Tribolium castaneum: one gene and its partner. The protein of the gene in region 2 interacts with the protein of the main gene of each other region in a pairwise test. Links are inferred from orthologs where the notes say so. Each region holds a gene or a part of one and is shown on either strand. Other genes may lie near its edges. The genes, in order: Pfdn4 and prefoldin subunit 3.

Region 1 (16,362 bases), on a different chromosome or scaffold from region 2:
ATTTTGCGGTTTAATTCTTTAAATTAAATGTGTATTTTCTAGGCGTGAATAAAAAAATTCTAACAGTAGATCAAATTTGGTGTTTTTCTTATAATAAAAATAAATTCAAAATCCCACTTATCACACAATACCTATATTTCCAAAAGTAGCAAATAACTCTTTCGGAGACTTTTAGTACAATTAGGTATTCAATATTGACAATATAACCTCTGGAACAGAGGCAATTTCGATCAAAATAAAACTAATATAATCGTATTTTAGCTAAAATTTTAGCAATTTTATAACTTTTACAACTTATAAAGAGTATGTTATTAATGTTAACATTTATTTTAATTGTGAGCGAAATGACAGATAACTGACAGATTTTCAGAGCACTCTTGACCACATTTTATATTACGTAGACCAACATAATATCAAATTTTTACAAAACAATAGAATTTTTTAGTGGAATTAGAATACATTTTTACACAGAGAAATATTTCTTACTTATTCCTACTTGTGCTCCATGTTGGAAAAATGTCACAATAATATATTCAAACAACCAGAATTACTCCACTCGATTAAGCATGAAAAAACAGTACTAAATAACATAAAATGCATTCCATATTCTAATGCAAGTCAGTAATCATTTCCCTACTTACCGTTAAAAAACCAATTTAAAACCAATAAAATTTAAAGGTAACTAAACCCATTTATTAATAAACGTTTAAAGGAAGTAGGGAATTACGCAATTTTGCTGTTACCCAACGAAAAATCGACATTCTCTGGGTCATTTTGCCATGGCTTTTAGTAATAACAATAACCAACAATTAGTTATTATCGCGGCCTACATTTCGGATTTTGTGTTTTTATCACTTGCAGGTATAGATTAAGTTCTAACAGACATGGAGCGACCTAAATTGACGCACAAAAACAAATAAAATTAATAAAATAAACAAATACACTAATGTCAATTGGCGATCAAGGCGGCGTAGTGTTTGTTGCCATGGTGACCTGTTAATAGTCAACAAATCTCGGAAAAACTGTCGCTTTGACAGCAGCCCTAACCCCAGGTGGGTTACTCACCTTTCCGGTGGCCTTCTTGTACCGGAGGATGGCCTCTCTGACGAGGTCCCGCACCAGGATATCCCCATGACCACACGGCACCACAACTCTGACACTGCCGAAGCACACGGTCACCTTCATTTTCGGCCGAACAAATGCACAAATCTACCACACCGCCAGGTAACTCGATGACGCCATGCTGTAGCGCTCAGGTATGTTTGTTGTGAGACACCTGTTCAAACGGTTCACTTCTAGTAAATAGAGCCGAGTCGCGTGCAAATCGTGGCGGATTACGGTGATTCGGTGGTAGTTTCATGGGTCAAAGCTGGCCGAGTGCGGGAGACGAGGCCGCAAACATGTGCACATTTCAAACAAAACAAAAGTTGCGCGGCGATCGTAGCACACTTGCTCGCACTATGTTGGCATTTTATAAACTAAAAATTTCAAACGAGTTTTTGCCCCCTCTCGACCTACCTGGAAAGTGGCGGCCAATAGAAGGGCGAGATTACGGTGGCAAATGCGCGAACTAGCGATGGAATGTTGCGGTTGGTCAATGAGGAAGGGCGACCTCTGGGGGACAGGTAGCGGACTAAGGGGGTTTAAACAGGGAAATGCATTATTTATGAAATTGGACGAGGATTCATTCACAAAAACGAAATTCGGAAAAAAGCCCCCATAAGTGATTTATTTGTTAGTTGTGCATGCATATTTACAGCGTGTGCTAGCGAGTTAGTAACATCCAGAAAAATTACACAAAATCTTGGATCTTTTTGGCGTTGAAACAAAACTAGGATAAGCATCGATTAAATGATCAGATCCAGAATTTTTTTTCTCCAGACGTGTGATAACATCTTTTTTTCTGTAATCCGAACTAATTGTTGCAACAGATTCTTCAAATTACATATCGTTTTTTTTTTGGATTCTTTAATTTTTTTATCAAAATGGATCAACTATTAAATACAGGCTGATCCATAGGTCTGATAATAAAGCACATGGAATATTTGGATTTGTATACAGAGTGATCCAAAATAAAATATATCCAACTAAGTTCTATTTTTTTTTTATGAAAACCCCGAATTTTTGTTACATATTTCAAATCTCGACTAAATTGTCGGTGTAACGCACCCTGAGTTCTTAGACTTATCTGGCATATTTTTTCATTTATGTCAATTGATTCGGCAAAATAGCGTCATGTATTCAAGATATCTTAACCAACTTTTTTCCAATCGATTTAGTGCATCTTTTACAATAAATGCGAACTTGGAGTCGATATTCCATCGCCTACTACGATTTTCTGAAATTGACAAACTACAAATGGCTATCACTCGATTTTTTTTAATTTTATATTTTAAAACATCATTAATTACATGAGGTTTTTATGATCTTTTTATCGATGGGGCTGTGGGGTCTACTTGTAAAATTTGTGAACACCTCCATACCATTCTAAAAACAATATCTTTCAATAAATTGTGAATTGTAGGTATAGAAACAGAAGTACACCACAAAGGAAAGAATTTTAAAAGCCTTTATAATAACAGGGAAGTATGATTGACAGGGAACTATGTAAAACTATCAAACTAGTAGTAGTAGTAGTACTAGTAGTAGTAAAGACTACTATTTTTTTCCTTTGTTATATACCCCTGTTTCTATTACAATTTACAATTTGTTGAACAGAATGTTTTCTGAATTGTATAGAAATGATAAATCTTGGGACAATGGCCTACTTGATTTTTTTTCCGAAAAAAACATCACTTTTTTTATTTTACAATAATTTTACAAATTTTAAACCCCACAAACTTTATTTTAAAATGTGGTACTGCATTTGAAAAAATCTCGTTATTGCCATTTGTAATTTGTTAGTTAATCGTAGTAGGCCAGGAGATATCGACTCCAATTTTGCAACTATTATCAAAGATGTACTAAAGCTTAAGAAATTGATTGAAAAAAGTTGGTTATGATGTTTTGAATGGTTCTGAAGTTATTATACATTTTTCTGTCTGTCTATTATACATTTTTTCTATGAACGACGGTATTTATTGTCATATGTCAAACTCTATGAGAGACAGGTCTAAGAAACCTGGGTTCGTTTATCGACAATCAAGTCGCGATTTCAAAAATGTTACAAAAATTTGGAATTTTCGTTAGAAAACAAAACTTAGTTGTGTACTTTATTTTAGAACAATCTGTATACAAACTGAAATATTTTTAGAAGGTGCCTATTGTCAGACGTATCTAAAAAATGAAGTCAATATCTTGCATAGAAAAAAAGTTACGGAGCTTCCACGAAGTCCTGGGTGTTTTTTTATTTTATTATAAATTATTTTTATAAATTTATTTTTTATAAATTGACATCTATTAAGGTCACTCACAACTATAAAAAAACAAAATACCAAAACTGAGCCAAAATCGTAAAATCTACTTTTTTACATTTGAACGATTATTGAACTGTGATCCTTTTAAAAACATAACTACAGATTTGTTATTGTAAACAAGCGAGTTATTTTTAATTTGAAATAATGAAAAAAAAACTTCTTTCTCGTTCTTGCTTCAGTAAACAAAAAATGTACCTAATCTTCTAGCTGGACACTGGACAGTGCTACGCTTAATCCATTATTCATAATTTCCACAATAAAACATTTGTAATTTAAATATTTCTGATGGTTTGTACAATCATTGAATAAACTTCAGACGTAATAAGTGATTCGTGGTGGATGATTATCACTATCATGGTGTAATAACAATTACCAACAATTAATTAGTGTTAATGTCACAAATTTTTGAACAGCACTGTGTTTTTTAAGATCTAAAGGTCAGCAGTGGACTTTACCAACTCATTGGGACACACAGTATCACAAAAAGGAATGTCTCAAAGTGTGCCTATTGTACATAATTTTAGAATCTGACGCTGCATAGGGATTGCCTTAATGCAAAAATTAAAAATTATAACATTAGAGATGAAAAAGGTGGAAAGACAATTTTTTTGTTACTACATTAATTGTCTTACAGCTAATTTAATTTACAACCATTTCTGGAAAAAAATTCCGCCTACAAAGTACATAACGAAAGTTTCCTAAAACGTATCACATTGCATCCTAATTTTAACTACTACAATAATAATTTCTAATTATAGTATAGCATATAGTTACAGGAAAAACAGATCACTATTTTACTTATTCTTATTACTTAGTATTTCGTTAAAGTTTTACGCTTCATTGAAAATCATATCTTGCACACTGCTATCAAGTCTCGATCCAAGCGCTAGTTTAATTACTAATTATGTCTTTAAGAGTTATAGGTAATGAGAGCAGGGAATAAATTTTACGGTCTTTAAATCTGTAAGCTTCTTAATGTGACATAATAAGCTACCCCTATTATATTACTACCGCTTATGGCTTCCTGTAAAGCAAAACCGATAATTTAGTGCTGAATTCAGATTAATATTTTTTTTTATAAAAGTGCTCGTAAAAGTAACTAAATCATTGGGACTTTCATAAAATCGTTAATGTATCTATCTGTGTGTAGGCAATATGCATTTAAGTTAATTAATTCTAATTGATACTTACATTAAAATTTTAAAATTACCTATGAAGTCATACCTACTTATTTCTAATTTAGGACGGATTCGATAAGAGCATTTTAAAACCTACCTATTTTAACCATTTACATGTACCTACATACATTTATTTAATTATAAATAAATAAAAAATTAAAAGTGTAGTTTCGTCGATAAGACTCATCCTATTGGTACTAAATTCATGATGTTCAAAGTCCAATTTCTTAACACAAAAATTATATTTATTTCGAGGCTTTTCCTCACTTTTGCGTCTACAGGGAATAAAACGGTGTAAAATACACAACTATTTTGTTTCATTCTTACCTCCAGTTATCATCCTGAAAATAGGTTTAGATATGAAATTAGATTCTTTAACTGATGATTATTTAACAATAATTAAAAGCTTTGCAAATAAGAAATAAGCACAAGAAAATGCGGGTTTTTGTCACTTCTGGCAATCAACTTCGACCCATAGAAAGCGTCGTTATGGAAACCCTTCAACAATAACACAGTTTCATGCTTCACATAAATTTAAAATTTGTGAGGATCGAAGTTGCATTTCATGAAGAAAATTTAATTTTTCTTCCTGTCCTGGTATAATGTATTGAGGAGAAAATTAATTTAAATTGCATTTAAACTCGTTGGCGGAGCCGAGTGTTTGTTTTATAATCTATTGTTTATTTTTAAGTAGCTGTCGAATCCCACCACATTACGTTCTTCTCACGCTTCTACTTTTTAACTTGTTTATAGTGGTTTCTTGGGATCAAAACGTTAAATTAAAAACCGTTAATGCATTAACGAAAGATAAGAATTATTTATGAATTATATGAAAGGAAAATGTTCCGCCCGCCTTGATGAGTTCTAGACGTGTGTGGTATTTTGATAACAGTAATATTTTTGTTTATACAATAAAAGTGAAGAATAAATCAAAATGGAGGAAAATAATTTGTTATTTTGGTTAAATCAGAATGTAGTAAAAAAGTGACACGTGACAAAAATTATGTTTTTTGCTCAATTAAACTGTTTACTTATTTGCATTTTAACACACCTGCTTAATTGGCTTTGCCGTAATTACTATTTTGTGCATAATAATTACACATTACACCAGTTTCTTACCTACATTTCTTGAGAATCATTTCATGAGATACATAGTGCTGAAAAGTGGAGTAAGTATTAAATAAATAAAATGCAAAGAAAACTTTAGTCTTCGGAAGGTGATTATTCCCTTAGATCAGTACAAGGAAATTAAATTTTGTATTTTACTTATTTTTCAACCAATGGTTTACTTTAAAAAAATATGCAAATATACTTGTCGCCTATAATGAATAAATCGGTCGATTTTTTTAACTAAAGGTTTGGGGTGAAGTTGCTTTATTTATTTTATAAAAGATTTTTTTGTTTATACAAAAAACTTTGAAACAAATCAGTAAAACAATTTTTATTTATTGTAAAAAATGTGAAATTGCTTTAAATGGGGAGATTTTACCAATTTCAAATCGACCGAGTACTACTGTGATTTGTAGAGGCAAACCAACCAATTAAATGTTGTTGACTTGATGTCATGCGTTAAGTGTCAAAACGACGGTAAGCGAAATTTTAACGAAAATGTAAAAATTGTAGCCACTTTTGAAAATGCCTAAACGTTGAGTTTTAGTACCAAAGAAATTATTTATGTTAATTTTTAGTTTAAATAAATTTCTACCGGGTGACTATAAAAAATTGTTTCTGTATATGTATCACAACTATACCATAACATTCAAACATAGGGTAAATAAAACTGCAACATAAGTTTATTATTATTTATTAACTATTATAATGTAGTCAATAGAATACAACATTTTAAAGAACACAAATAAAATACAAAATATAGACGAAATCACTGACAATAAATTTGATATGAACGATATTACAAAATTCGCTAATTCTCAATCATAATCACCGAAACCCATAAAGCTCAATTCCTAAATAAGGGATTCTTCACCACAATATCGTACCCATGGTACTCAAGCTGATCATAGACATATTTCCTATGGACACGGCAGTCAATTCCGCATTTCCTTGAGCCACATTTGGGGCATGGGAGAAAGCATCCCACGCACTCTTCACTCAAGCAATCGCAAAGATCAATGCAAGTGGCGATGTGGATTCCATTCTCGTCATAGAGAGCCCCTGGTGGCCTCCGAACGTTGCTTGGCGGATTGATTTTGCGATTCAATTTCCGTTTCTCGCGAATGCTAGTCTCAGGATTAAAATTTTCCAAAAATCGGTTGGCTACCGTCAGAGTTTTCTGGGACCCGGGGGTTCTGATACGGCTGGGGTAGGGTTTGGGGTTGGACGTCGATTTTTTTGCCACTCGGTGGAGGGACGGCCGGGGCTCATCCTCTTCGCTGCTTTCACTGCTCATTGTTTCGGTTGTGACTATTTTTTAAAAGTTTTTCTTGTAAAATTGAATTCGAAAAAATACAGCATAACCTCAAAAAACGAGACAGTTGACAATTGTTTTGTCAAATTGGCGCGAAGTCCGGTGTACACGTATCTAATACGTAAATTGATGAAGGGGTGACTAAAAAATTGAATTATTGAAATATTTGTGTTAGGTCACTAACAGATTAAGCAGAAAATTAGTGTTTAATTGTAGATATTATAATTCACAAGATAAAAAACAATTCGCGTCTTCTTGACAAAATCAAAATGGCTGTCTTACAGTCAGGCGGAAAAATTAAACGCCACAAATTTTACGAAAAAAACGATGGTTTTTATGAAAATACAGAAAAAATAAGAAACAACATTTGTTAATTCATATTTTATTACAATCGTTATTACACAAAAATCTTTACTGGCAACATGGGAATGACAGTAAAGTGACAAAATGTCAAGCAACAGTTGAAATAATGTCACAAATTAGTAATATTAGGCGTGAAATTTCTAAATAAATACCAAAACGTTCCGCATAAATAATTTATTCCTCTTCAGCTTCTAAATTAATATGGCTTCCAAATTTTCCGTAAAGATGTGATTTCAAGTCGCTCATTTGGCTTTTTACATCATCTGATTGGCTTTTCAATTCCTTGATGTCCTGATCAATTTTCTTCTTAGCATCATCGAGGCACTGCTGTGTGGTTTCAGTGTCTTGCAGGATAAATACTTCCCCTACCAAATAAGGAATTTTCTCCTCTTCATCAAATAACGCAATTTCGTCACATGCTTCTTCCAAACTTTTCAGATCGTTCTCTTTCACCTTAACTTCTTCTTTAAGGTCTTCAAGTTTGGCATTCAAACGTGCAAATTTGTTAATTTTTTGCTGGTCTTCGTAGGAAATGTGGACGTCAGAATCCGGCTGAAATGTGCCTTTGCTCCCCGCCATTTGTATTAGTTTCTAATGGATTTGTTTCCCTTCAAAGCTAGATAAAAGGTTTATAAATGTAATTTCTTGTGATACACTTAATGGAAATCAGATGCAAAAAATAAGGTTAGGTTACGACAAATTGACAGATTAAATAATTTACAGGTTTCTGTAATTTGCGAAGTTTAAACCGGCTAAATTTAAATTAGTTACACATCGTGAAAATATTTTTTGAGGGTTTTGTAATCAGTTGTTTATTTTTGTATTTAATTCAACAGTTTTTTTAAGTTACTTCAAATTGTGGAAAACTTGACAAGCTTAGAAAAGTGCACCGAACAGGGCATAAGGTACAAGACAGAACCGGACAGAGTCACTTTGCCGAAGGAAGTAAAAAAAAACGCAGTTTTGATAATGTATTTAGTTTACTTTTATAAGCATTTAATAAATCATTAAAAATTTTCCAACACATATTATGATCAAATTTTAGTCTTTACAGATAATAGTAGAAAATATAGTTACAGAAAATAGGAAATACAAAGAGAACAACAATAATAATAAACACCAAGATCGGATATTCGAAGAAAATAGAAATATTTACAAACCACCAATATATTCAGTGCTACATTTAGAAATGGTGATCACAGAAAGAAAATTCCATTATAAATCCGGTTTAAGATGGAATTAACAAATAATACATCTGATGTATCCTGTAACAAAAGTCGTACGTAAGAGAGAAAGAAAGTGTAAAACTCAATTTAAGTACACCAGTAATTTAGAATTACTAATGATATAAACTATATAATTAAATACAAAATATTGCATCCACGATGGTAACAAATAAAATATGTTCCATAAATAAATAAAATCAACTAAAACAGGATTATATACATAAGAGACGCCATTAGCAAGATTTATACAAATTGTTGAGCCACTATTTCCCGTTAAGTAATAAAATCATCATTCAATACACAACAAAGATATCACTAATGTAAAAAATTGCATTCTTTGGTTAAAACCAACTACGTGGGTGATATCCAGCTTGGTAGAAAGCTGCCTAATAAAAAATCACAAAGTATCAGTCCCTTCGCGCTAGAAGCACCATTGCGATCTAGTCTAATATCAACCAAAATACGAAAAAGTTTTGATCAAAACCATCTAACGAGATAATCACCCTCCGATCTTGTAAACGCATCTCTAATCAAATATAGTACATTCAGATTAATATCGTCTATTCACCAAATCATAGAAAATTTTAGTCCCTAAACATCACTATCTGGATCCGTTTCACTTCGAGGCTGTCCAAAGTTTCTAGTAATACTCTCACTCATTGATCGGATATTTGCGAGATGAACGTCATTCGCAGGCACTGAAAAATAGTTAAGTCTGTCGAGGTCAGGTACTGCATTTAGATCGTCATCAGTTCGATAGCAATTGTCGTATTCGGAGTCATAGAGAGCACTTAGAGAATCCAGAGACATCATCGCGTCCGAGTCGAAGATGCGCGAGGAGGCGCGCGACGACATGCTGGTGTTGTCGTCCATGTCGCCCTCGTGGTTGTGGTCGTTATAAGCAGAGTTCACGTCGCTCAGGGCGCCTTGAAAGTACACCAACAAATTATTTTCTCTTGCTGCACCCACAAGTTCAGATAAAGTTAAATTCAAACTTGACAAAACACTGCGGATAATTTTGCTTTTAGAAGCTTGTGAAGTAGTATTTTTCATTAATAGAAAGGCTGATAAAAACAAAACTCCAGATTAAACGTTAAAACGTACGAACCTACTGACTGTGCCAATTAAAGTATTGTAAAAAACAAGCCTTTTTTTTGCAAAAAGAATTATTAGAGCTGGCAGCAAGACATACACTAAATTAATTATAGAAACAAAAGTGAAATAAGGACACGGCATTCGATGTACAAGTAATAAAAGTAATAGAAAATAAATACATTTTAAATTGGTCAAGTTGTAATATAAAAATATCTCAATTAATTTTGAATCAAAAAGTAGTTTCCTTCAGTTATTTCTGAGAAAATTACTCTTATCTTGAGCTAAAGCATAGTGATTTTGACAAAAATAATTCATTTTTCCTCAGTTCAGACCAGACGAGACGCTTCTGGTTTCTAAGAAAATCTTTTATTGACTTTTTTTTATAAATTATGTTAAAAAATGTATGAACTACGACACAAAATTTTGCCTATACCACAATCTCTTTAATGGAACAAATTTTTCGTACAGCACGTGGCGTATTTTCTGATTATATCATGAGAAAAAATAATAAAGAAATAAATAAATAAGAAAAATAAACGTTTCTATCGTTGTTTTCCACCAAGTCAAGTCAACTAATACTTTATTCAACATATTCGTATAGTACCTAATAGAACAGGTGTACCAAAATAAAAAAGTAATAATAAATTTATACTCATAAGTTTACGGTAAACCCAAGAGTTTGTTGTTGTTTTTTAAAATCTTAATTCTTAAGTTAAAGTAGGTATAATAGAACACTTTTATTTCCTAGTGTAATTTGGGTGTAATTCTCTAGTGTATGTCGCTCTTTGAACAATTTTGCACGTTACACCGGCGAAATTTTAGGAATTTACACTAGGGAGTGGACGCTAAGAAACTGGACGACTTTTATGTATTTTTTCAACTGGGCATAAATGTTAAAGAAGAATTTATTTTCTCCTCAAAAAATTCCACATATCTACACGGTCATTTAGAGTGACTGTTTCAGTTGATAGCTCGAAATTTTATTTTTAATATTTAATAATAATTTAATAATATTACATTGTGCTAAAATCAAAATATCTTCGAATCTGTTAGCAACTGATCTCATCATAGGTTTTTTCCTAGATAAACCAATACACGGACCAAAGTTTTTGTGTCATTCTGCATGTACAAAGAACAGATTATTTGGCCAGGGTTTGTCTTATGATGAACATGATTTAATAATTTGTGGTATCGTAAATAATATGTAAATGTTTCATAAAATAAAATTTTATCCTCCTTATTCTGAATAATTATGTAAAGGTCCCAGATAATTCACAAAAGATAAGTCAATTCAAACGTCTTTCTAATATAAAAAGCATGATTCTTCATATAAATCTAATGTTTCACTGCACTTTTAAATAATCTATCCATCAAACGTTGTAGTTCTTTTAAAATTTGTTAAAAATTACTTGTTACTTTTGCAAGCTCGTCATTTTACATTAATCAGTTGATATTCAATGTCAATAAGCCTATCTATTTTTGAATAAACTGTCAATATTTTATCCAAAAATGATTAAGTACTCGAAATTGCGCTCATATTTTCTTTTGGAAGGACAAGCTCAAAGAATTTTGAAATAATGCTTGTTTTTTATCTTAAACCGTATTCGCAGCGGAAATTGGTACTGATTTTTTGCTTCCAAAAAATGTTTGCTAACTTGTGCTGGTGGAAATACCTGACTCACCTTCAGCATCCGTGAGTCCAGTTTCGTTAATCATCGAAATATTCTCCAGCGCTGGATCATCCGTGGTATACCCCGTCGATTCCCTATCATTCAAAAGTGGCTCAGAAGCCCCCCCGTCCTCATCCTCCGACCACTCCGACTGGCTTCCCTCCGCCCCTTGACTCTCCAAACCCCCATTTTCCAAATTCCTCAACTTTTCTTGCACTTTCTCCTCCAACAGTCTCTTAACTTCCTCCTCCTGTAAGCGCGATTGATACAAATTGTTTAGGTAATTGTTAAACATTGAAGATTTTACCAACTCTCGGTCCACAGGCTGCTTGCCACAATCACCATTTTAAAATCAAACAAATTCAGCAAATTTACCGAGTGACTCACCCTTGCTGCTTCTTCCTCCATGCGTTGCTCCTCGCGCTCGAAGCTCTCAAGATCAGTGTCGTCGTCTCTCTTGTGAACTTCCGGCATATCACAGTCAACATCGGCTTCCTCAGCCGACTTCGGAGCTCTACCAACACCAGAAAAATTATTTTCGCAATAGGACACCTTATTCGAGATTTTGCGTCCCAGTGGAACGTAAAATCTCGAATAGGCTCGACCTGTGCCAGAAATGTACGTGACAAAGCATGAAGTGCGAGCAAGCAGCATGAGTGTTAATGAAGCTGAGTGAGGCTAAAATGAGACACGATGTTAGTGTTCCTGTACCTGTCAAGAGGCGACACTTTTGGCTGTTTATGGGATTCGGACGGTCCTGGGGACGCTCCCCGCTTAAGCGATCCCTCTTTGCTGCTTGCTCTGGGAGGGGACATGCACTGGAGGGTAACACTGCCGGTGGGATTCACTCTCAAGCCTAGAGCTAGGGCCTGGATCGCCGCAAGCCCCACCTGGTGGTTGTTATTGTTTGGAGCGTACCTTACAAGCGGCTCCAAAGCCAGGTCTTTGTTCTGCTGGTTCAGCTCGAACTTTGGAGGGATGTTCTGGAGGAGGTTCTGCTCGTCGAGCAGTTTCTGGATCTCGCGCTCAAACGGACCAATCAGGTTCTCGTTCTCGGTGTTGTTCACCTTGTTATTGGGGGAAATCTTGTCGCGGAAGCCGGACGGTGAAGTCTTGAACCGTCTCAGGTCCTTTTTATCCGTCTGACAACAGCCGTCTTTCTTCAAACTCTTTTCGCCAAGGTTACGCGTTTCGTCCTCCTTGAGTAGCTCGCGGATTTCTTCCGCCTCTTTGAAACTAGGGGACCTTTTGCAGTTTGCCGCCAGTTTGTTGCACTCCAGGACCGAATCGCTGTCGTTCCGTATCCGCTTATCGAGACTTTTCTGCTTGATTGGAAGTTTTGAAACCGCACCGTTGGCGCTATTTGCTCTTAACAGTGAAGTTGGTTTGGTTTTTGGTCGAGTCACAAACTCAAAACTGGCACAACTCTCCCCTTTACAACTGTCTTCGCCGTCGAGAACCGGCGGACTTGTCACAATCGACGAATCAACGGTGTTACAAGTCCCAGCAAGAGCCAGGACCGCATTCGGTGGTAGATTATTCCGCTTAGTGTTGTTCCGATCACTCGAACTGTTCCTCAAGGAACAATTCGCTGGGATATAGTCCAGTGACGCTCTTGGCGACACCTCCGGTGACGAACACGGATTAACTTGAATATCCGACGGGAATAGGAACTGTTGAGTGTCTGCAGGAAGTGGCGGAGACACACAGGGGGAGGCATCAGCGTCCGTTGTCCTGCTGTAGCTCTCGTCCGAGCTGCTGATGCTGGGCGAGTGGTTCAAGGAGCTGATCTCGTCGGCCGACGAGTGGATGCGCTGGGGGACGCCCGTGGTGTACAGCCCCCCTAGACTCTCGTCCGAGTAGTGTCGCTGCAGAGGGCTGTGTCGGTTGGAGTGGGGGCTGTGGCGCGAGTGCAACGGACTGTGTCTGTTTTGAAGGGGGTTGTGTCGGGTTTGGATTTTGTTACGGAGGAGTTCGGGGGTGCGCTCTGGGATGTTTTGATGTGGGAGAGGTGTGAGGATTTGATGAGGGGGTGGGACAGGGCCGCCGGAGCCGCCGTTGTGATGTTTTCGGTGGTGGCGGTTCGGGGACTCCTTGCCTGGGGGCTTGGGGAGCGGTTTGAGGTAGGGTTTGATGTTCTCAGATGGTCGCGCTGGTATTGCAGAGTAGGGATTCGGAGCTCGAGGCCACGGGGGGGTGTAGCGCATGTCCTGCAAAAGTACGCTAGGAGGAAAGAGAATTTGCGAGGGGAAAAGCTAGCGTCTACTTAAAATAAACTTTCCGTTGAAAAGTAGTACGAAATCGTTTTGCGTAACAAAAAAAACGGTGCCATAATAGATAGTTATACCGAGTGACTATAAACTAATATTGTGTCAAAAAATCCATAGCCTTGCTGATAGTTTGTTTAACAGGGACATTTTTTTAACTCTGAGCATAGTCCCAATGTTCAATTTGACAAAAAACACATCAAACCTTTCGATGTATAAGATAAGTCACCAAACTTACTACGATCATTTACTAGGGGTCGGTTTCACCAACCCCAAGAAAATAAAATACCAATCCAATAGGGTTACTTTTTAAAAATAGCGTAAAGCACATAGTATTGGACAGTTAAGCAAAAATCTAAACTAATTATTACCGTGTTCTGAATAAATAAGATAAATAAAATTTCCCGATTTCAAACTAAAGATTGAATGAAATGTGTAGAAAAAGGTAATTATTACGCATTGGTTTAAACTTTATTATTATTTTTTATAGCATTTTTCTTTGTTAAGTGTAAGAAATGTAGATATTGGACGAGTTAAACAATTACGACGTAACCAAAGTACGTCATTCTAAATAGTTTTAAGAGTTTCAGAATATATTATAGAAAATTTGGGAAGAGTAGTAGTAGAAAAAGCACACAATACAAAAAAAGGTCTTTGAAAAAAGTCAGCGATAATGTAAGATTATAGGAAAAACTGTATAAGTGGCTACGTTTTTTGAAAAAGAAAAACTTCTTAAGTTTGGTGACTTTAGAAAAAACTTTTTCAGGTTTATTAACTTAATTTTAAGAACTATCTTGCATTTGTAGTGATTGAAAAAAATTAAGGGTATTACTGAGTTTAAAGAAAATCAACTGATAAAATTCATAAAGTTTTTATAAGCAAATTATATATTTTTTACTGATTTGTTTTTACAAATCAACAAAGTATGACAACAAATGTCCCATGTGCCCCTGTCAATAACAATTGTCCTTTTTCAGAGTTTGGAATTAACCAATGTTTTTTTTTCTTTTGAAGAAATCTCAGATAGGGGTGGGAAAATTAAGGAGCTCCAGGGCGTTTATTTATAAACTCGTAATACCATCTGTTCAATCTATCACTATCACTTGGAAAAAATTAAAAGATGGTCCTTATACAAATAATTGAAAAAATTGATGCCTATATTACTTATTACTCGTTAAAAATTAGCTTCGTTTCAATTTTATATCTTTAATTAGAATAACGAAGTTGATAATACTTAAAAATTTTGCAAAAATGTTTTGTTTGAATTTAGTTGTTCAAGAAATGAATTTCAGCGACTGGACCTTAAAAATCTACCCCAAAAAAACGTTAAGAGGCGCTGTCGTAACAAGATCATTGAAATAGACAAACCTTAAAACTATTAGTTATCTCAAAGATTATTTTTTATTGGTGACGCTTTATCCATATTCTTACACAAGAATTATTGTCGAGCCGTTTAATTTTATTCAGTTTGTTACCTGCTGTGGTCGCGAACGGCCTCATAAATAAAATCAGAATTTTGTGGTTTAAAAGTCTCAAATTCGTTGGCTAGTGAGTGTTAGTGTGTGCTACTAGGATGGATTTCCAGAGAGTACTTCCGTTGTAGAAAAATTATATTAAATCTAATATTTTTAATTAATTTAATGGCACATTGTAAGTACATTTTTTTCATCCCGAAGTGAGATGTTCAATATATGCTATTATTGAAATATTATTTTAAATTTATTTTTAATGTACTGCAACAAACTGTTGCATAAGAAGATTCCTAAAAGTATATCCATTTTATTTTTTTTTATTTATCGCAAAGTGAGAATTCTTTTTGTGTTTTATTTTGTATTTTATTTTACAAACCAATAATTCCTTTATTCCTTTGGTTTTCTAATAATCACTGTTTAGTTCATCCTGCCCTAGATTCTTAAATTTATTTTTTGTTAAAAAGAGGACAAAGTAGAAAAAATAACATATGACATATTTCCTTTATAATCATTTTGTCACACTTACTTCTTTCTTTTAAACAAAATGTAAGATATAGGGTGAGTCAATTATGGTATATTATAGATTTTTTTTAGATGCAACCAAAAATACTACCTACATTACGTTTCATAAAAAAATGAATCTAAATTATAGTATAATTACGAACACGCTCACTTTTTCGTTTGATTACCTAGTAATAGTACCTAACAGGCCATGTTAAAACAAAATTGTCAATACATACTTAAAATCACGCACTCGCCAATTAATTTTTATTTTATTTAATAACGCAGTCAAAGCTGGAAATTGTTTTTTCTTTGTTTAATCCAAAAAATCAGAAATACTCCACAAATAACACCTGTATTTTGTCAAAAAAAATCAACAGGAAACACTGAGTTGTTTTAGCATTTTTGCTAGTAATCTGGAATGATTATTTAATTATTATAGTCGCCAGATAAAAATTTCACTCGGTACATTTTACTGCATGACGCAAAACAACATTTTAAATAAACAATGACGAAATGAGTCACTTTTATTGCAAATACCTGTGACGACTGCCTCTGCACTTGCTGATAGGAATTTTTATGTGGCGGCAGCGGTGGCGGCGGCAAATTCTCCTCTTGCACCTTCTTCCCGTTCCTTTTGCACCCCCCAGCCGGCAGTAAAGGCTCATTCTCACAGCCGTTATTCCCATGGTCTCTATGCGGCGCCTCCCTGAGCGGCGGCAACCTCATTGCATTCCTAACCCCGCTGT
Region 2 (16,314 bases):
GAAGAAATTGAAACGGGATAGTCCCCCGTTTGCCGTTATAGGGATCAGTGCTGTGATTCACCCCAAAAATCCGATGGTGCCAACTGTTCATTTCAATTACCGGTATTTTGAAATCCAGGATGAGGATCAGGTTGTGTGGTGGTTTGGGGGCGGGAGTGACCTCACTCCCTACTATTTGAATAAGGCTGATGCTATACATTTCCATTCGGCGCTCAAGGATGCTTGTGATAAACATGACAAAAGTTATTATCCTAAGTTTAAGAAGTGGTGCGATGAGTATTTCACGATTAAACATCGCAAGGAGAGGAGGGGCATTGGGGGGATATTTTTCGATGATTTGGATACTCCCGATCGGGAGTCCTGTTTCAAATTTGCCACGGATTGTGCAGACGCGTTCATTCCCTCCTACATTCCTTTGGGTAAAATGGCAAATAGTGCAAGTACTAGCGTTATTTAAATATTCTAGTGCAAAGGCATAAACACGCCATGTACACCGAGACTGAAAGAAACTGGCAATTATTGAGACGGGGACGTTACGTTGAGTTTAACTTGGTTTGGGATAGAGGTACTAAGTTCGGATTTAATACACCTGATGCTAGGTTTGAAAGTATTTTAATGTCATTGCCTCTCTTGGCGGTAAGTTACATAACAACTTTAAGTTACACAAAAATATGTATTTTTATTTCACAGAGATGGGAATACATGCACCAACCAGCTCCCGAATCACCTGAAGGAGAGCTACTTGAGGTTTTAAAAAATCCCAGAGACTGGATTGAAGAGTGTTCTTGCACAGACCACCAGAAAAAATGATTGTTTTTTTAAATAATTTTGATAAATAAATAATAAAAATTAATCGTTTATTTATTTCTGAGTAACATTAATGCCAATTCTTCTGCTTCATTAACGTCAAGATTTGAACTAATTTTGCTGATTTTCCCTTTCTTTCTCTTCTTTTTGACTGGTAATTCCTTATTTGTGTCTCCTGATTTTAATTTCCTCTTCTTGGGTTTAATTGTTTCTTCTGTTAGTTCCTCTTGTTCCCCTTTCCCATATATTTTATCAGGATCTGGAAGCCATGATAAGTCGGGTTCGTTCTCAGACTCCGATTCTCCAAACTCGTCCTTTTCCGCTTCTTCCTCCTTCTTCAATTCCTTAAGTTTGCGTTTTTCCTCTTTATGTTTTGCCTTGACCTTGTCTTTAAACAGCTGTTTGTCAAATTTATCTTCTTCCTTGAGCACCAATTTCGCAGTCTCAATATCAATGCCGCCCTTATCTTCATTTTCGTACTCTTTGGCCAGTTGTGACTTCTTGTCTTTCAAGCCAACAGTTACAGCTTCGCCACTGTCATCAAAAACAATTTTCTTGTTTGGAACAATTTTCTTCTTTAGTAATTTCTTAGCGACTGCTGCTTTAGTCACAGGTTTCTTGTTTTTGTTTTTACTATTTTCTTCCAATTCAAAATCGGTTGGTAAGTCTATGTCGTGATCTTTTCTCTTCACTTTTAAAACTCCGTCATCACTATCACTATCGTCGGACACGTGGAACGGAGCGGAAGGTTTTTCATCGTCACTTACACCACTGTCGGTCGAAACGGCCGTTTCAATTTTTTTCTCTTCATCCTCATCGTTGAAATAAATTTTATTTTTACTTTGCTGTATTTTCGCGTTCCTAGCATTGAGTCTTTGCAAAAATCGAATTCTTGGAGGGATTGCCAGACCAAGAGAATGTGCAAACGAATCGGTATCCAACGCCTGAACATTGAATACTTTCTTATCCTTCATAAGAAACACTGACTTGGCATAAGAAACAAACGCTCTCTGAGCTGTGTCCTTCAAATCGGGGTCACGTGCAAGAAAAGCTTCCATTTTTCGCACAGGATTGTTGAGTTTCAGGGGGTTTATGCTAGTAATTTACCGAAATAGAAAAAAAAATCGCCAAAAAATCAAAACTTACTCTATTTTCTCAATCGGAATTTTCTTTTCTTTCAAATTGTCCAACATTTTTAATTCACTTGGTAAAAGAAGAAGTAGACTTTCTCCTCCTCGGAAAAACCGAGCAGTTCTGCCAACGCGATGAATGTACGTAGCTGCGTCTTCAGGACAATCGGCTTGAACCACCCAATGAACCTCTGGGAAATCCAAACCTCTGGCAGCTATGTCAGTTGCGAAAAGCACCGCAGAGGTTTTCTTACAAAAATTTTCGTAAATGTCCATTCTTCTTAATTGATGAAGAGTGCCATACAATGCCATTAAGCTCACACCAGGCCTTAGCCTGCAACATTCACGAAAATTAAATCTTTGAGACTACACGTCATTCGCTTAACTTATTTTTTTTGTAGATTATTATTGGAAAAATTAAAAAACGACCATATTTCGTCAAAAGACATATATTTTTTTAATAAATTAATTGAAAAAACCAACCTGCAAAATATTTCGTAGACATATTTAACTTCTTTACAGCTCGCAAGAAAAATGATACTCTTCTGCTTCAAGTGATTTTTGATAAAACTCCACAAAATCGAAACTTTGTCTTTGAGCTCACAGACAACATAGCTCTGTTGCAGTCCTTTAGGAGTGCTATATTCGCTGTGTTCGTGCACGGAGACATACGCAGGATTTTTCAAACTCAAACGCGCCAAGTCTCTCACTGATTTAGTTTGCGTGGCTGAGAACAGCAAAGTTTGACGCTTTGCTGGCAAATTCGCGACAATTGCGTTCATGGTTTGTTCAAAACCCATATCTAGACACCTATCAGCTTCATCCAAGACCAGTATTTCCATATTTACGCAATCAAACAGCGGGTTTTCATCCATGTGTTGTAAAATTCGGCCCGGTGTACCAATCACAATATTACACTGATCCATTCGATTCCTCTCAAATTTTAAGTCTTTGCCTCCGATAATTAAACCCGCGGAAAATTCGTGGTGTTCCCCAACCCGTCGCAATTCCTCAAAAATCTGATAAGCCAACTCTCTCGTTGGCGTGATGACTAAGGCTCCAAGACCGTCCAGTCGCGTCCATTGTTTGCAATACAAGCGTTCCAGAATCGGGATAAGAAACGCGAGGGTTTTGCCAGAACCAGTCTGAGCCGCCCCTAGAATGTCTTTCCCCGTGAGACCCAATTTTATGGTTTCTCTTTGAATGTCCGTAGGTTTTGTGTAACCACATTCTTTAAGCCCTTTTAGAGTCTTTGGGGATAAAGGTAAGTCATCGAAACTATTAATGGTAGAAACATCAATCTGAAAACACGGTTGGTGACCAAGATCAAGCAGCATACAGACTTACAGCTTCGTATTTTTCTTGAAGCTTCTCAATAGCAGCCGATTCCGGAGTCGTTGCTTTCTTCCTATTGTTGAAAATTTTTATTTTGGCCTTGCCTTTCGATTTATTCGACTGTTTTGGGGGTTTTTTAGACATTATGCTAATCAATGCAAAAAGAACACATGTAAAAGCGAGGTTAGCATGCTTGACAAACATGATAACCAACGTGAGGACATAACTTCTGAAATATGTTTTCTGTTTATATTGATTTATTTGCCTTGATGTTTGCTCAAACGATAAATTTCTAATTTATATGCAGTTAAATTAGTTTGGGCTAATTTATTACGTATTATTTGTATTAAAAATATCGAACCAATATTAATTTTTGGTTGGATTGGTTGTCTACCCTGACACCAGAAAACAAAAAAATTATTAGTCATTTTTCACATTTTTCAAATTGAATTTTGTTGATTATTCATGCGGTATGGCCGATTTTAAAGTAATTACATCTGATTTTGTGAGACTTCACATAAGCACTTCGAAAGACGATGTTTCGTTTGAAGAAAAGCGATTTCCTAAGGACATAACCATATCGGACCTAAAGGTACAAATTTTTGCATTTTCTGACGAAGTCGGATCGCAACTTCAATATTTCAGGCAAAACTCGAGTTAATAACAGGAGGCAATTGCAATACGATGCAAATTGAAGCGTACAACAAGGATAATAAGCACATTTGTTCACTTTCAAACAATGAGGCTTTGCTTGGTTCTTATCCCTTGGACGATGGAATGAGACTACACGTGATTGACCAGTTTAATATACGCAATGAGCTTGATTTTGGAGATGTGCCTAAATATGAGTTACCCGAGGAAGAGTACAATAAAAAGACAGATTCAGTCAAGGCATTTTTAATGAAAAATAAAATGGGTAAATTGCCACCAAAACCCAAGATTTTCCAGAATAAATTGTAAATTTTCAGGGCAATATAACGAGGAGAATATAAAAAAGAAAGAAAAGCAAATGTCAGAGGAAAAACAACTGGCAGAAAGCACGCCAATTGGTTCAAGATGCAAAGTTACTGTAGCCAATGCTCCCTGCAGACTTGGCACTGTGATGTACACAGGGCCTGTTGAGACCTTACCTGGATATTGGATAGGGGTCAAGTATGACGAACCTTTGGGCAAAAACGATGGAACGTAAGTTACGACCATCAGTTGAAAAAAAATTCTAGCTTTTGTTGCAGATTTAAAGGCAAGAAATATTTTGAATGTGCTAATAATTATGGCGCCTTTGTTAAGCCACACAACGTTGAATGTGGCGACTTCCCTGAGGAAGATTACGACTTGAACGAGGAAATATGATTGGTAACAAGCATTCCAAATTCGCAAACGAATTAATTTATTGTTTTTATCAAATTAAAAATTATTTATCGTAGAGCATTTTAACCTTTACCCTCACGATTTTACATCTAGAAAATCGTAAGTTTTGTGCACTTCTGCGATTATTAATGGTCTAGAAATGTCAAATGGTTTGATTAATTTTCGGAAAATTTGATAAATAATGCAAAGTTGGGTAAAATTAAAACTTTTTAGTAGCTCATAAAATTTTATTTATTATTTTTATAAAAATACAAATTATTTTAATCATAGAATTAGAATTTCCTCCGTTTCAAAATATCGGGTTTCCAGTTAATCGGATGCGTTTCTTCAGTCGCAGTTTCATCCTCTTTGTAGATTTTGATGGTCTTGTCAGCTTCAGTTGTGATTAATCTTGAGCCAGAATTGTCGAAAATCATTGAGAATATTCCAGCTTCACTGTCCATTGACCCAGGTTGTACTGGGGCCTAAAAATGTAACATTAATCGATTGACTTCCTTCAAAGTTACAAAAATTACTTGTAATCTTTGGAAATTGTAACCGGTCCTCCAATCCCAGAAATGTAAAGTTCCATTATCGCCCCCTGAAACCAGGACGCCTTCTGGATTGACAGCGAGACAATTAACAATAGCATTATGACCGGACAAATTCTGTATGAATTTCCCGTCAGGACATTTCCACTGTTTTATGTTATCGGGTGAGCCCGACGCGAACATGTTCCTACAAATAATAAAATAATTACAAAAAAAATAATTAAACAATCGTACAAAGTCGGGTGGAGAATCACATCTCTAACGCTCTTTTTGTGATTGGTAAGCGTACAAATTGATTTCCCAGCTGCCAGGTCCCATAATCTGATTGTGGTATCATGAGATCCTGTGATAACTTGAGGTTCGGAGGCTTGCGCCACCACGCTAGCTACAGTATGCGTGTGGCCGGTCAAAGTGTGAACATTTGCTTTCGTCCTCATGTCCCAAACCCGGGCTGTTGAATCACGCCCTGCTGTTAATAAAACATCGATTGTGGGGTGAAGCGCTAGAGAGTATACAGCCGATAAATGGCCATGGTAATGTCTAATGACTTTGTTGTACTCCAAATCCCAACACTTGACCTGTCTGTCTTCACCGCAACTGAACAAATAAGGGTGTCTACTGCTCACAGCCAACCCTCTGACCGTGCTCACATGCCCAGTTAGGGACACTTTCAACTGCCCACTTGCCAGGTCCCAGATTTTTATTATTCGGTCCGCTGCGCCGGTCGCAAACCACTAACAAAAAAACGGTAACAAATTTGCTGCCAACAAAAATTTTATACCTCATTTCCTGGCTCCACCGAAACACACCTGACCCACCCCAAATGCCCCGCAATCACCCTGTATAGCTTCCAAGGGGCGTGCCATTTCGGCTTTGGCATTGTGGGGACTTTTTTCATTAAATTGGCGAGCTGGTTTTGTGTGTTATTTTGGACGCTTCGTGTCATCAAACTTGTGTCAGTGTACGGTACAACAGCCCCCTCGGTGTTTGGGGCCGCGTCGTCAGTGCGTGTGCCCGGTGGTGGGGGGTTTGGCCCAGCTTCTGCCTCCCGTAAGTGCTTCATAGCTTGCATTTTCTTAACGTCGTCAAAGACTAGGCCGTACAAGTCACGGGCTTTTATGGCTTTTCGCACCATTTCGCTATTTAATTCGTAATATTAAGGGCTGCTTGTTTTTGTGGTTTGTTACTCACGCTTTTTCGTCCACTGATGGCAGTAGTCCCTGGTTTGAGAGAAACATGTCGTGAGACCGTTTCAAGGAACGGAATACTAACGTATGTACGGAGTGTCTCTGCACGTCTTCGGTCATTGTGAAGACGAGTATTTAACTCCGGATATTTACTGAATTGTAATACTAGTAATTAATCTTCGGGTAAATAAACAAAATCGTACTTAACCTCTCTGCAAAAAATCACCAAATCCACCATTTGGTAACTTTTGGTTCGTAGAATAGACAGGAAAAGAAACTACTATTGACTCAACCGTGGAGGGAGTTTGAGTTTTTTTTTTTTTTAACCAAAAAATAGTTAATTTCCATACCAAATTGAATTGAATTTCTTATTTGGGTAGTTTTGGTCACAAAATAAAAGCACGCCAATTTTTTTAACATTTGTATTTTTCAACAATTATAAAAATAGATACGAGTTGTTTCACTTATAAATATTTCGTTATTAAGTCTACAATAAAATACATAGTTTTTTGACCACAAAACGCATCTAGTTTTTATCTGTACAAGTCCCAATGTCAACATTCCTGAGCCCAGATAAAAGCAATATTACACAAATTATTTACATTGTGAGTCGACTACAATAAAGTAGCTTTGCCTAGTGCCCCACTTTGCAGCGATGTGATTAAAAATGCAAACAGAATTATATAATGCAAAGAAACTTAATCCAACGGAGTGATCTTGACTGAAGATCCGCGAGATTTGCGATACCTTTGAAAGTCTCCTGCCTGGTAAGGTAATGCCCTCATATTACTTCTATAATATGGTACATCATACGGAGATATGTGTAATTGATTGATTGGTGGTGACCGATTTCGCCACAAAACCGCCAATAAAGAATAAAATCCACAAATGGTATTCGAAATTAAAGTCATAAAGTTGACAATAATTGGGGTGCAAACCCTGATAAGTCCTTGCGTTTCACGCAAAAGTTTCAGGAGATAGTCTAGAAGGTACTTGATGGTGTGTATCAAGAAAGTGATCAGTGTTGATAACAAAAGAACCATAAATATGGTGGCTTGTTTAATGTTGGGCCAAGTCAAGGTTTCAGTAAACAAGTTCCTCAACTGATCCTTGAAAAACTCCTGAAATTTTGCACCCAATTCACCCAAATTCTTCTGAGAAACGTCTTCAAAAATCTGAGTGGGAGTTATATTATGAACTGGAGTCTTCTCTCTGACTGGCCTCACAACTTCAAGCTTGACTCTAACTTCATTGTGGAAGAATTCAACGTTTTTGATTTTGTACCAAAAACTCCCAAAAACCTCTTCGTCCAGACTCACCCACAAATTGTAACCTGCCGGGGCCCCGATTGTTTTCGGCTCCGTGATACCAATCCACACATTTTTGGTAAAATGCTTCAAGCAGCGCTTCCTCACTGCTTTTAAATTCGCAATAAGGTCGTGTTCATCGTCGCATATTTTAATTACATCGCGGTACGAGTTCAAAGGTTCAACCAGCCTTTTTTCCAGAAACGTACCGATAAATAGGGAGCTCTTGAGCATGTGTTTTGCAAATTTGCGCACTCTTGTCTCCTCGTCATCGTCGGAAAGGCTTGCAGACGAATTTCGGCTGATTTCACTGATTTTTGTCATTTTTTACAACTGGGGTCTTGACGTGTTTCTAAGAACTGTTACGTAAGAACTACATTTGTGTACTTCCCCCAGTTACTTACGGGTGCTGAGTTGTCCAAACATAACAGATCAAAAGAAAAATACACTTATTTGCAACATTTTATTTACCAACAACTGTCACTTTTTTGACGTTACGTGACCCAGTGACATCTGTTAGGTATTAATAATAAATTAATTAAGAGTTTTACAACAAGACACCAACTTATTTTATTCAGAAACTGGTGTAAAACATTAATTTAATTAAAATGGTCCTCGTAAAGCTTGCATAAATTGTTAAATCAATAAATTGAGGAATGTTTTAAACCCGGCGCCGCACATCGAGTAACCAGTTGCCCAATGCCAGCAACCTAATAACCGCGAACGTTCCCAGTTAACGAAGTTTCTTTGAATTTGTGTTGTTGACGAAAACGCTGTTTTCAGCGTTTTATTTTATAATTTCCGTAAATTTGTTAATTAACCCGTTGAAAGGTGTTGTGACAGCTCCTAATTTGTCATTTTACCCACACAGTGTCAAAGCTCACCCAAAACTTGATACTTGAACGGTTGCGAGCCACAAATTCGTCCAAATCTTGTGATTTACACGTGTACAACCACCCATTTATTTAGCTGTTTTGCGAAATGTCGAATCCAACTTTCAAGGCAAGTTATCCGCCCCGACTTACCCTTTAACCTCAACTTTTCCCACTAGCCGTCCGAGGGAAAACGCGAGGAGTTCCGTAAGTACCTGGAGAAGAATGGGGTTATGGATGCCTTAACCAAGGTCCTCGTCAATCTTTACGAGGAGCCTGAGAAACCCGAAGATGCTTTAGAGTGACTATTGCACAATGTTTTGCCAGGAGTTTGATTTTTTTATTTAGGTACATTCGGGACCGCTTGGCCATGCAAGCAGGGATCGAGACCTTCGCTCAAATGAAAACGAAGATAGATGAGTACCAGGCCCGCGTTGAGGCTCTCAACCAAGAGTTGGAGGAGCTGAGGATCAGTATGGAGCCTCCAGCTCCGGCTGACGAGGAAGGCGCTCCCTTGGAGGAAGGTTTTGAGCCAACTGGGGGCGACGAGAACCCGCCGGAGGAGGCAGCGGCCGCGGCGGCGCCCTCTGAAGAGGCCCCAGCTGAACAGCCTCCAGAAAACGCCGACCAGTGATGCTCCTCTTTGCCATATTATACATTGTTTTTTATTTTTAGAATTTTATTTTTGTTCCTTTTATGAATTAATTTTTAGTTTGTTTTAGAATTGTGAAATTTTAAGACTTTAGTCGGTCTTCACATTGTACTTAACTCAACCTGTAAATTAATTCAGGTGATGCCTTAACTACCATTTTTGAGAAGCACTTTTATGTTCGTATATTGAATATTATGTGGACTGTTATTTGCAGTATTATTTTTTCATTTATAAAATTTTATGCACTTGGCAAAAGAAGTTTGAAGAAACAGTCTGTGTTTATTAGCAATTAAAGTTATTTCCTTATTAGAAATAGTTTTATTCACAGAAACGGGTTAAATAAAAGCTAAGTTATTAAATGCTCAAGCTGGAAGTAACATGTGATTTACATGCACTGTAAAAGTGCGAGCGCGAAAATATATTTTGCAAAACTGGACGATATAAAGCAGCAGTGACAGATCTTGTAACAAAATTAAAACAGTGCTAAATGGTCACTTGGAGCCTCATTTTGCCGCTGCTTTCGCAGCTTGGCGTCTCTTCACGTCCCAGTTGAACACTCTCGCCATATTGACCTCGGTTGTCGTAAACTGATCCCTGAAAATTGACTCAGCCTAAAGTAAACCCCAACAAAGCGTTACCTCAAAAAGTCGAGATCGTGTTCCACATATTTTAAATTCTTAGTAGCTGCAGCAATATTCTGCGTGAGCAGCTCCTGAGCATCTTTTAAACTATATTCAAGCATGACATTGGCCCCCAGCCACAGGAACACCGTCTCAGTTGGTGGCACTTTAGCTTTGGCGAAAACCTGTTCGCTGAGCAAAAACTGAGTCTCGAATTCGTTTTTCTGTTCGCCTAGTTTCTCAATCATCGTTAACGAACGCTTCAGCTCGGGGACTTGGTTCTGGAGCCGTTTTTTCTTCGACAATAAATTATATTCCATAAACTTATACTTGGCATGTTGGTTATCTAATTTTTTCAACACTTCTTCCACGTTTTTGTTGTTTTCGGGCCGCGCCATGTACGCATCCACATCTTCCTGAGACAGGAAAAATCATAAGGTCGGGATTGAGGTTACGTTTTTTCGAAAAACATGTGGACGGGGTTTCGACACTTACGACAAATTCGGCTTCGGGGATTCCAGCGTAGGACTTTTTGTCTCCCAGTTCTGTGTTATTTTCCGATTCTGACTGTTCCATTCTAGTTTTTGCAAAATTTACCCACTCCACCGACTAAACAATTGAAAGTTTGGTGGTTTTTATTTTATCAATTCGTTGCGTTGGTAGCCACCACTCTATTATGTGGGGTTAGGAAATTTAATAATTTTTTGAAAAATGAGTTAAAAACTTAAAAATGGACTTGATTTTTGGCTTAATGACAATAGCGGCGATTTACTTATGGGTTCTCTTCATGGACAGGTTTTTTAAAGTAAGTCGGAACACGTTTAGTGCCCTTAAAAACCACAATTTTAGTCATGTTCTCATTACGGATACATCCAATTTCTTAAAGGAACGGGCCTGGAGATCAAATTGTTCCAGTTTTCGTGGACCACGACAGCCTTTAATAAATTGCTGCTTAAGTGGGGCAGTCACAACACGAAATTTCTTAATTTGTGGTTTAATTTGGGGCTATGTGTGAGTTTAGTTTTGCTGCCTGCTTCGATCTACCTATTGTTAGTGGCTTTCTTCCAAAACTTTTTGTCTTCGGCAAGTGGCGAGGAAAGCATAATTCAGCCGGTAGTCCCGGGAATAAACCTTCCAGCATCCGAAATGGGTTACTACAGTTTAACTTTGCTAATCAGTTCGGTTTTGCACGAGCTAGGCCATGCGTTAGGGGCTGTGCAAGAAGACGTAAATGTGATCAATGTGGGCGCCAACGTAATTTTTATTTTGCCAGTGGCTTACGTTAACTTAAATTCCGACAAATTATTTTCTCTAAATCCTTGGAAAAGACTCAAGATTTTGTGCGCCGGAGTTTGGCACAACTTGCTAATTGCACTCGTAGCTTACTTACTCTACACTTCTCTACCGTCCGTTTTTTCACCGTTTTTCAACTTTGGTAAAGGAGTTGTGGTAACGGAATTTGAGGCAAAATCGCCAATTTTCGGAAATAGGGGTTTAAATGTTGGCGATTTAATTTTGAAAATTAATGATTGTGAGGTGGACGATGAAAATGCGTGGTACAAATGTTTAGTGGCTTTACGCACAAAAAAGCCCGCGTTTTGTATTGAGGGCGACGTTGTGCGCGATCTGGATGAGAGCGTTCATTTGAAACACTCCGAAAGTGGGATTGTAAGCTGCTGCCATTCAGAGAATAAAGGCAAATTGTGTTTTGAGTACTTGGATAGTAAAGACAGCATTTTGGAGCTGCCCCCTTACGCCTGTTTGCCTGGAAGACCTGCGATCGAAGCCTCGACAAATTTCTGCATATCTGACCCCCATGTTTGCCCCAAAGATACTTATTGTTTCAGACCGATTTTAACGAATAACACGAATTTGTTTAAAATCAAGCGAGTCAACAAAAACGACGTTATCTACATTGGGCCCGTGTCTGATCTTGTGAGGACAGTGACGGTGTCCTCATACGTCCCAAAATATTCGTTTTTAGGGACGCGAATTCCCGATGTTACTACCAAATTTCTAGGGTATTTAGCTATGTTTTCAATGGGGCTGGCTCTAGTTAATATCTTGCCCTGTCTGTTTATGGACGGCCAGCACATAACGAACACTTTGTTCCACATAATATTCGCGAGTCATTTGAGGACCACTCATATCAAGATTATTTCAGGCGTTGTGACCGCTTCTTTCACACTCTTGTTAGTGATTCACTGCGTTATTGTCATATGGACTAGACTTAATTAAATTGTTGAATAAAACCGTTTTTTATCTAACAAGTGTATTCATTTCAATCACAACCTATTTTGCCAAAGAAATGGTATTTTCCAGTTCCTTTAAACACCTTTCCCCGTACTTGATGTACATTTTAATAGTTATCTCATCCGTGTGATGAGCGTTGCTCCTGAAATCACGTCTTGCCCATTCCTTCAGCTCCTGCTGGTGCCCCTGATCGGGCACTTGCCGTATAGCCCTGAAGATTTTCCTGTAAAGATTCTTAACTTCTTGTTTCAAGATAAACTAAAATATAGGAATTATTCAAGATTTGGATATGAAACCGATTACGTGTTTCAAGCTAAGGGCGGGTTTTGCAATTTTGGACATTACACAATTTTGGGGTTGGTTTTGGTGCGCTTGCGCATTTGGTAGACTTGCGCGTTTTGAATTTGAAAGTGTGGCGGGAATACCCCACTTCGAGTACCAAAATAATCACAACATTATTGAAAAGCTCAGCTTGTAGTTCTCATCGAAATTTTCCTAGTGGCGCAGTATTAATGTGAAAAGTGATTTTGTCCGTCATTTATTGAGTCAGTAGTGCGTTTTGAATTTTTGGTTTTGGCCTTTTTGCACATTTGGTTTTCATTTATGGAAAAAAGTGGCGCCGAAGAAATTGCGAAAGTTACGATTAAAAAGGAAGTGCTTAACGATGATATAAAGGTGGGTTCAATTTTGCGATGTTTAATTAACAAGTCTGGTTTATTTTAAAAGCATACAGATTTACAATGTCGATTTAAAAATAGATTTCGTCATTGTTGATGTGTTCGTTCGGGAAAGAGGGGGCCAGAATGTATCCGATATAATATCATAAATATACATTTTATTTATATTTTTTTCTTGAGCGTTTTGATTATTTTTCGTGTCGATTGTGTTAAAATTTAAATGCGTTGTAGGCTTGAGCACGGGCCTAACATGGATGTGTAACATGAACGCGATACCTGATATGGGGGTATCAAATGGCAGATGGCGTGCAACTGATACCCATCAGCCAGACATCGTAAATACACGTTATTTTATATCCTTGCATCTCGCTGGATATTCCGTTGATGCTCTACAAATCATACTTCTCAAAACATGTTTATTATTTTAATTTAAGCGGCTAACAGACAAGCAAATAACCTTTATTTAAACAATTACCCATCATTAGAGCTGGCCAAATAAACATTTTTCCTTTACAAGGATCCCAATCGCCGCTTCACCTCAAGTTACCCACACTGCTACCAGTTTAGCAATGCCATTATTACCGGAATCAATTTTTCAAAGTTCAAATTCAAATACAAAAAAAACTAAATTGTGTTTGGAACCTACTAACTAAAAATCTTTATTAATTATATTTTATGTTATTCATTCAGTTGTTGCAAAAAAATAGTGGAGCCTTCAGAGACAGACTATGGAACAATCATGAATTAATAAAAAAAAATTCGTATGTTCCCTAAACGTACATCAAGCTCCGAAGGTGGTCTGTTTGATATATTTAACAATTTTGCTTCTTTATATTTATTATAACAAATCTTATAAATTGGCTTACAAAAAACTAGGGCACATATAAACATATCTCTCTGTCAATCCATTCTTGAATCTTTTTTTTAATTTTTTTTTCTCAAATATTTTTCTAAAAACAAATCGTGGGAGTTGGAAAAATGTAATTTTTTTCTATCAATATTTTGTTTGTAATACGTATTTGTAAAAGCTTCTGTAATTATTTCCATACATAGCAAAACTGGGTTCATCTGGTATAATAGATCCAAATTGGTTTAAAGTGTCGAGAAAAGAGATAGAATCGAGTAGAGGAAAGATTAAGTTACAAGAGCATATTTAAGATCGATACTATCATCAGGTAGTAACATTTTCAAAATGATTTAAAAAAAAATACGAAGTAATTATCGTAGAAAAGGTCAGAGGCAAAATCGCAGCACGTTTGCGGTTATTAACTGTTATTTGTTAATTGGAAGGCATATACATCTGTCCAAAGGCTTTTAGTTATTCAAGTAACATAATTCCTGTATTTATTAGATCGAAACTAAACCCCCTCAAATTTTGTTTATGTAACACCGTATTTTGCAAATTAGTATGTTTGAAAATCAATCCGATCTTTCAATTAATAAATCTGTGCAAATATCGGATTTCAGGTTCCGAAATACCATTATGAATCAGTAAAATAAAAATCCATTAATAACGTGTTCAAATATTTTTCGTTCGGTTTTATCTCATTTTCGTTCTAATGTTACTTTTGGTGGATTCGCCGCTAACATTTCAATAGGCGAACTCTTTGGCGGCAAAACTGTTCTGTCTGTATAATTAGAGACATTTTGAAAGTTGACACCACGGTGTCTGTTTACTACGCTGAACCAGCTACGCCCTCTTCGTCTCTTTAACTCCTCCGCAGAGGTGGGTATCCTGTTTCCATCAGGCTACACCTATATGTGCATTATGTACTCGTACAACTACATTAGCTGAATAAATCTAATCGCTATTACACAAGGGTCTAAAAATTACGCCATGAAAGCCATAGATATGTATTTTCTAGATCGTAATAAATTTATGAATTAATTACCCTTCCGTTCCAACGGATTGAATTTCTCGGCTTCAGCAACTGCATAGTTTTCACTTTACTTACTTTAAGTTACGATTTTTTAGGTATTCACCAGGTGCATCTAACTTCCTGTTATTTCACCTATAATTGAGACTGGAATTTAGGAAAAAAAGTTAAATTTTTGGCCGTAGGCCCGTGCCGTCGGTTCGCACCTGGTGAAGTTGATTCGCCTCGAAGTGGCGTTTGTTCTCGAGATGGAGAGACTATCGTTTTCACAAACTGCAACAACTCCTTATATTAAAACTGCATGTAGAGTGCGAACATGATCTGCAGGAATGAAACCAGGGTGTTTTATTTCGCCTTCTCTTAGACGAGCATCGGGTAACTCCGACTATTAATAACCACTTCGTTTAATTAAAATAAGCAAGCAGACACCCTCCTGTTTTGCATTTTAAGAAACAGCTATGTTATTCCGACGAGTGTGGAATAAAATTCCGTTTTAATCGCTGCTTTGTCACGAGATGGCAATGTTTTATGGATTTTTTTCCTTGATAAGATTTTATTAGTAATAACACGAAAATGTTTCCAGGCTAATTAACAAATTCTAAAGATATCTGCCGGTGATAAAATTCTCGTAAAGGAATCATTGTTCATGTGTTGCAGGAATTTGCTGAAACAGCCATGAATGAGCTCCTAGGCTGGTACGGATATGCCAATAACAATCACAGGGATGCACGTGCTTGCAAGTCGCATTCCGGAAGCAACAGCTCCGGACCCCCGTCTCCCAAATTCAACGGTAATTGCTTTACTTATGTATGTGTCAAATTACCATCATTTTCAGTAGCTGGGCTTATAAATATGATTTTCTAAAATCTTGCAACAAAACTGCTGAAAATGTAAACGTAATTCAAGCTGTAATTTAAACTTCGCAAATGGTGTTTGAATTCGCTATGTTATACTTAGATTCAATTATTACGTTTTGCGCGTGAAAAAGCTCTAATGAGAAATACAGCTCTGTTTCACCTGAAAAACTTACGATTGTCTATGTTGTGGTGGAAGAAAATTTTCAGCTAGTTTTTATTTCCACATTATTGCGAAATAATAAAGCTCGAATTTTTAATTTAAAAACTTCGAAAACCAGGTTTTATTTCATCAGACCTCATTATGCTCAATCAATGATCGTAATTACAAGAATGTTAATCAGTATTAAATTCCTCGTTAGAATTATGAATATTCAAATTACATGCGCCGACCATTCAATTATTTTGTTTTTCACCGTGCATTGAATGCACCCAGAGTTATCGAAACTCCCTAATTGTCATTTCCACATTTATCGATGAAATGAAAATTTGTGACTGCAATATTCGTGATAACTCCTGGACCTCATGCAGTTTCTAAAACATAATCATTTGTGACACCTGTATAATGCACGAAGCTGACTTGTATGCATGTTGGTGGGCGCAAAAAGGGCACATTGTGTGAGCCGCTGAACGAATTTCCTTTGTGCGAATAAGTTTTATCGATAATTTCCTCGAACCATGCTTCAGCATGTGTGCTATTCGTGGAATTCCATACCAATCAAAATATTTCGAACCTTCTTCACGCTTTAAAGTCCACAATTAATATCAGATTGATGAAAAGCTTTCATTGGGCTTTGCTGCAAGGGGTGGAGTTCCCGGAAATACAGTGCCCAGCACCGTCGCTA

What was found.
Region 1: the proteins of prefoldin subunit 3 (region 2) and Pfdn4 interact in binary tests that used the Homo sapiens proteins (3 or more experiments, as listed by UniProt). The link is inferred for Tribolium castaneum from reciprocal best matches to the Homo sapiens genes VBP1 and PFDN4.

Annotation. Positions count from the first base shown.
Region 1 is NC_087395.1:16,368,029-16,384,390, forward strand, and holds Pfdn4 (probable prefoldin subunit 4), read right to left. Parts: upstream 8,098-16,362; 5' UTR 7,962-8,097; coding exon 7,557-7,961; 3' UTR 7,386-7,556; downstream 1-7,385. Other genes in the region: ARL14 effector protein, read right to left, coding at 6,552-7,001; rut (Ca(2+)/calmodulin-responsive adenylate cyclase), read right to left, coding at 9,200-9,534, 11,386-11,623, 11,681-11,698, 11,761-11,887, 12,085-13,583, 16,154-16,362. UniProt on the Homo sapiens protein: Binds specifically to cytosolic chaperonin (c-CPN) and transfers target proteins to it. Binds to nascent polypeptide chain and promotes folding in an environment in which there are many competing pathways for nonnative proteins.
Region 2 is NC_087397.1:4,264,549-4,280,862, forward strand, and holds prefoldin subunit 3, read right to left. Parts: upstream 10,445-16,314; 5' UTR 10,385-10,444; coding exon 10,304-10,384; intron 10,225-10,303; coding exon 9,827-10,224; intron 9,783-9,826; coding exon 9,692-9,782; 3' UTR 9,484-9,691; downstream 1-9,483. Other genes in the region: Coprox (oxygen-dependent coproporphyrinogen-III oxidase), read left to right, coding at 1-419, 467-636, 691-810; probable ATP-dependent RNA helicase DDX10, read right to left, coding at 858-1,902, 1,954-2,271, 2,421-3,238, 3,285-3,476; Tbcb (tubulin-folding cofactor B), read left to right, coding at 3,745-3,864, 3,918-4,188, 4,241-4,457, 4,505-4,622; Tango4 (pleiotropic regulator 1), read right to left, coding at 4,913-5,104, 5,156-5,357, 5,405-5,904, 5,952-6,309, 6,362-6,477; uncharacterized protein LOC656577, read right to left, coding at 7,056-7,988; c-Myc-binding protein homolog, read left to right, coding at 8,646-8,666, 8,716-8,837, 8,885-9,170; S2P (membrane-bound transcription factor site-2 protease), read left to right, coding at 10,539-10,613, 10,658-12,046; LYR motif-containing protein 2, read right to left, coding at 12,101-12,319, 12,365-12,403; Sobp (sine oculis-binding protein homolog), read left to right, coding at 12,665-12,736, 15,273-15,405. UniProt on the Homo sapiens protein: Binds specifically to cytosolic chaperonin (c-CPN) and transfers target proteins to it. Binds to nascent polypeptide chain and promotes folding in an environment in which there are many competing pathways for nonnative proteins.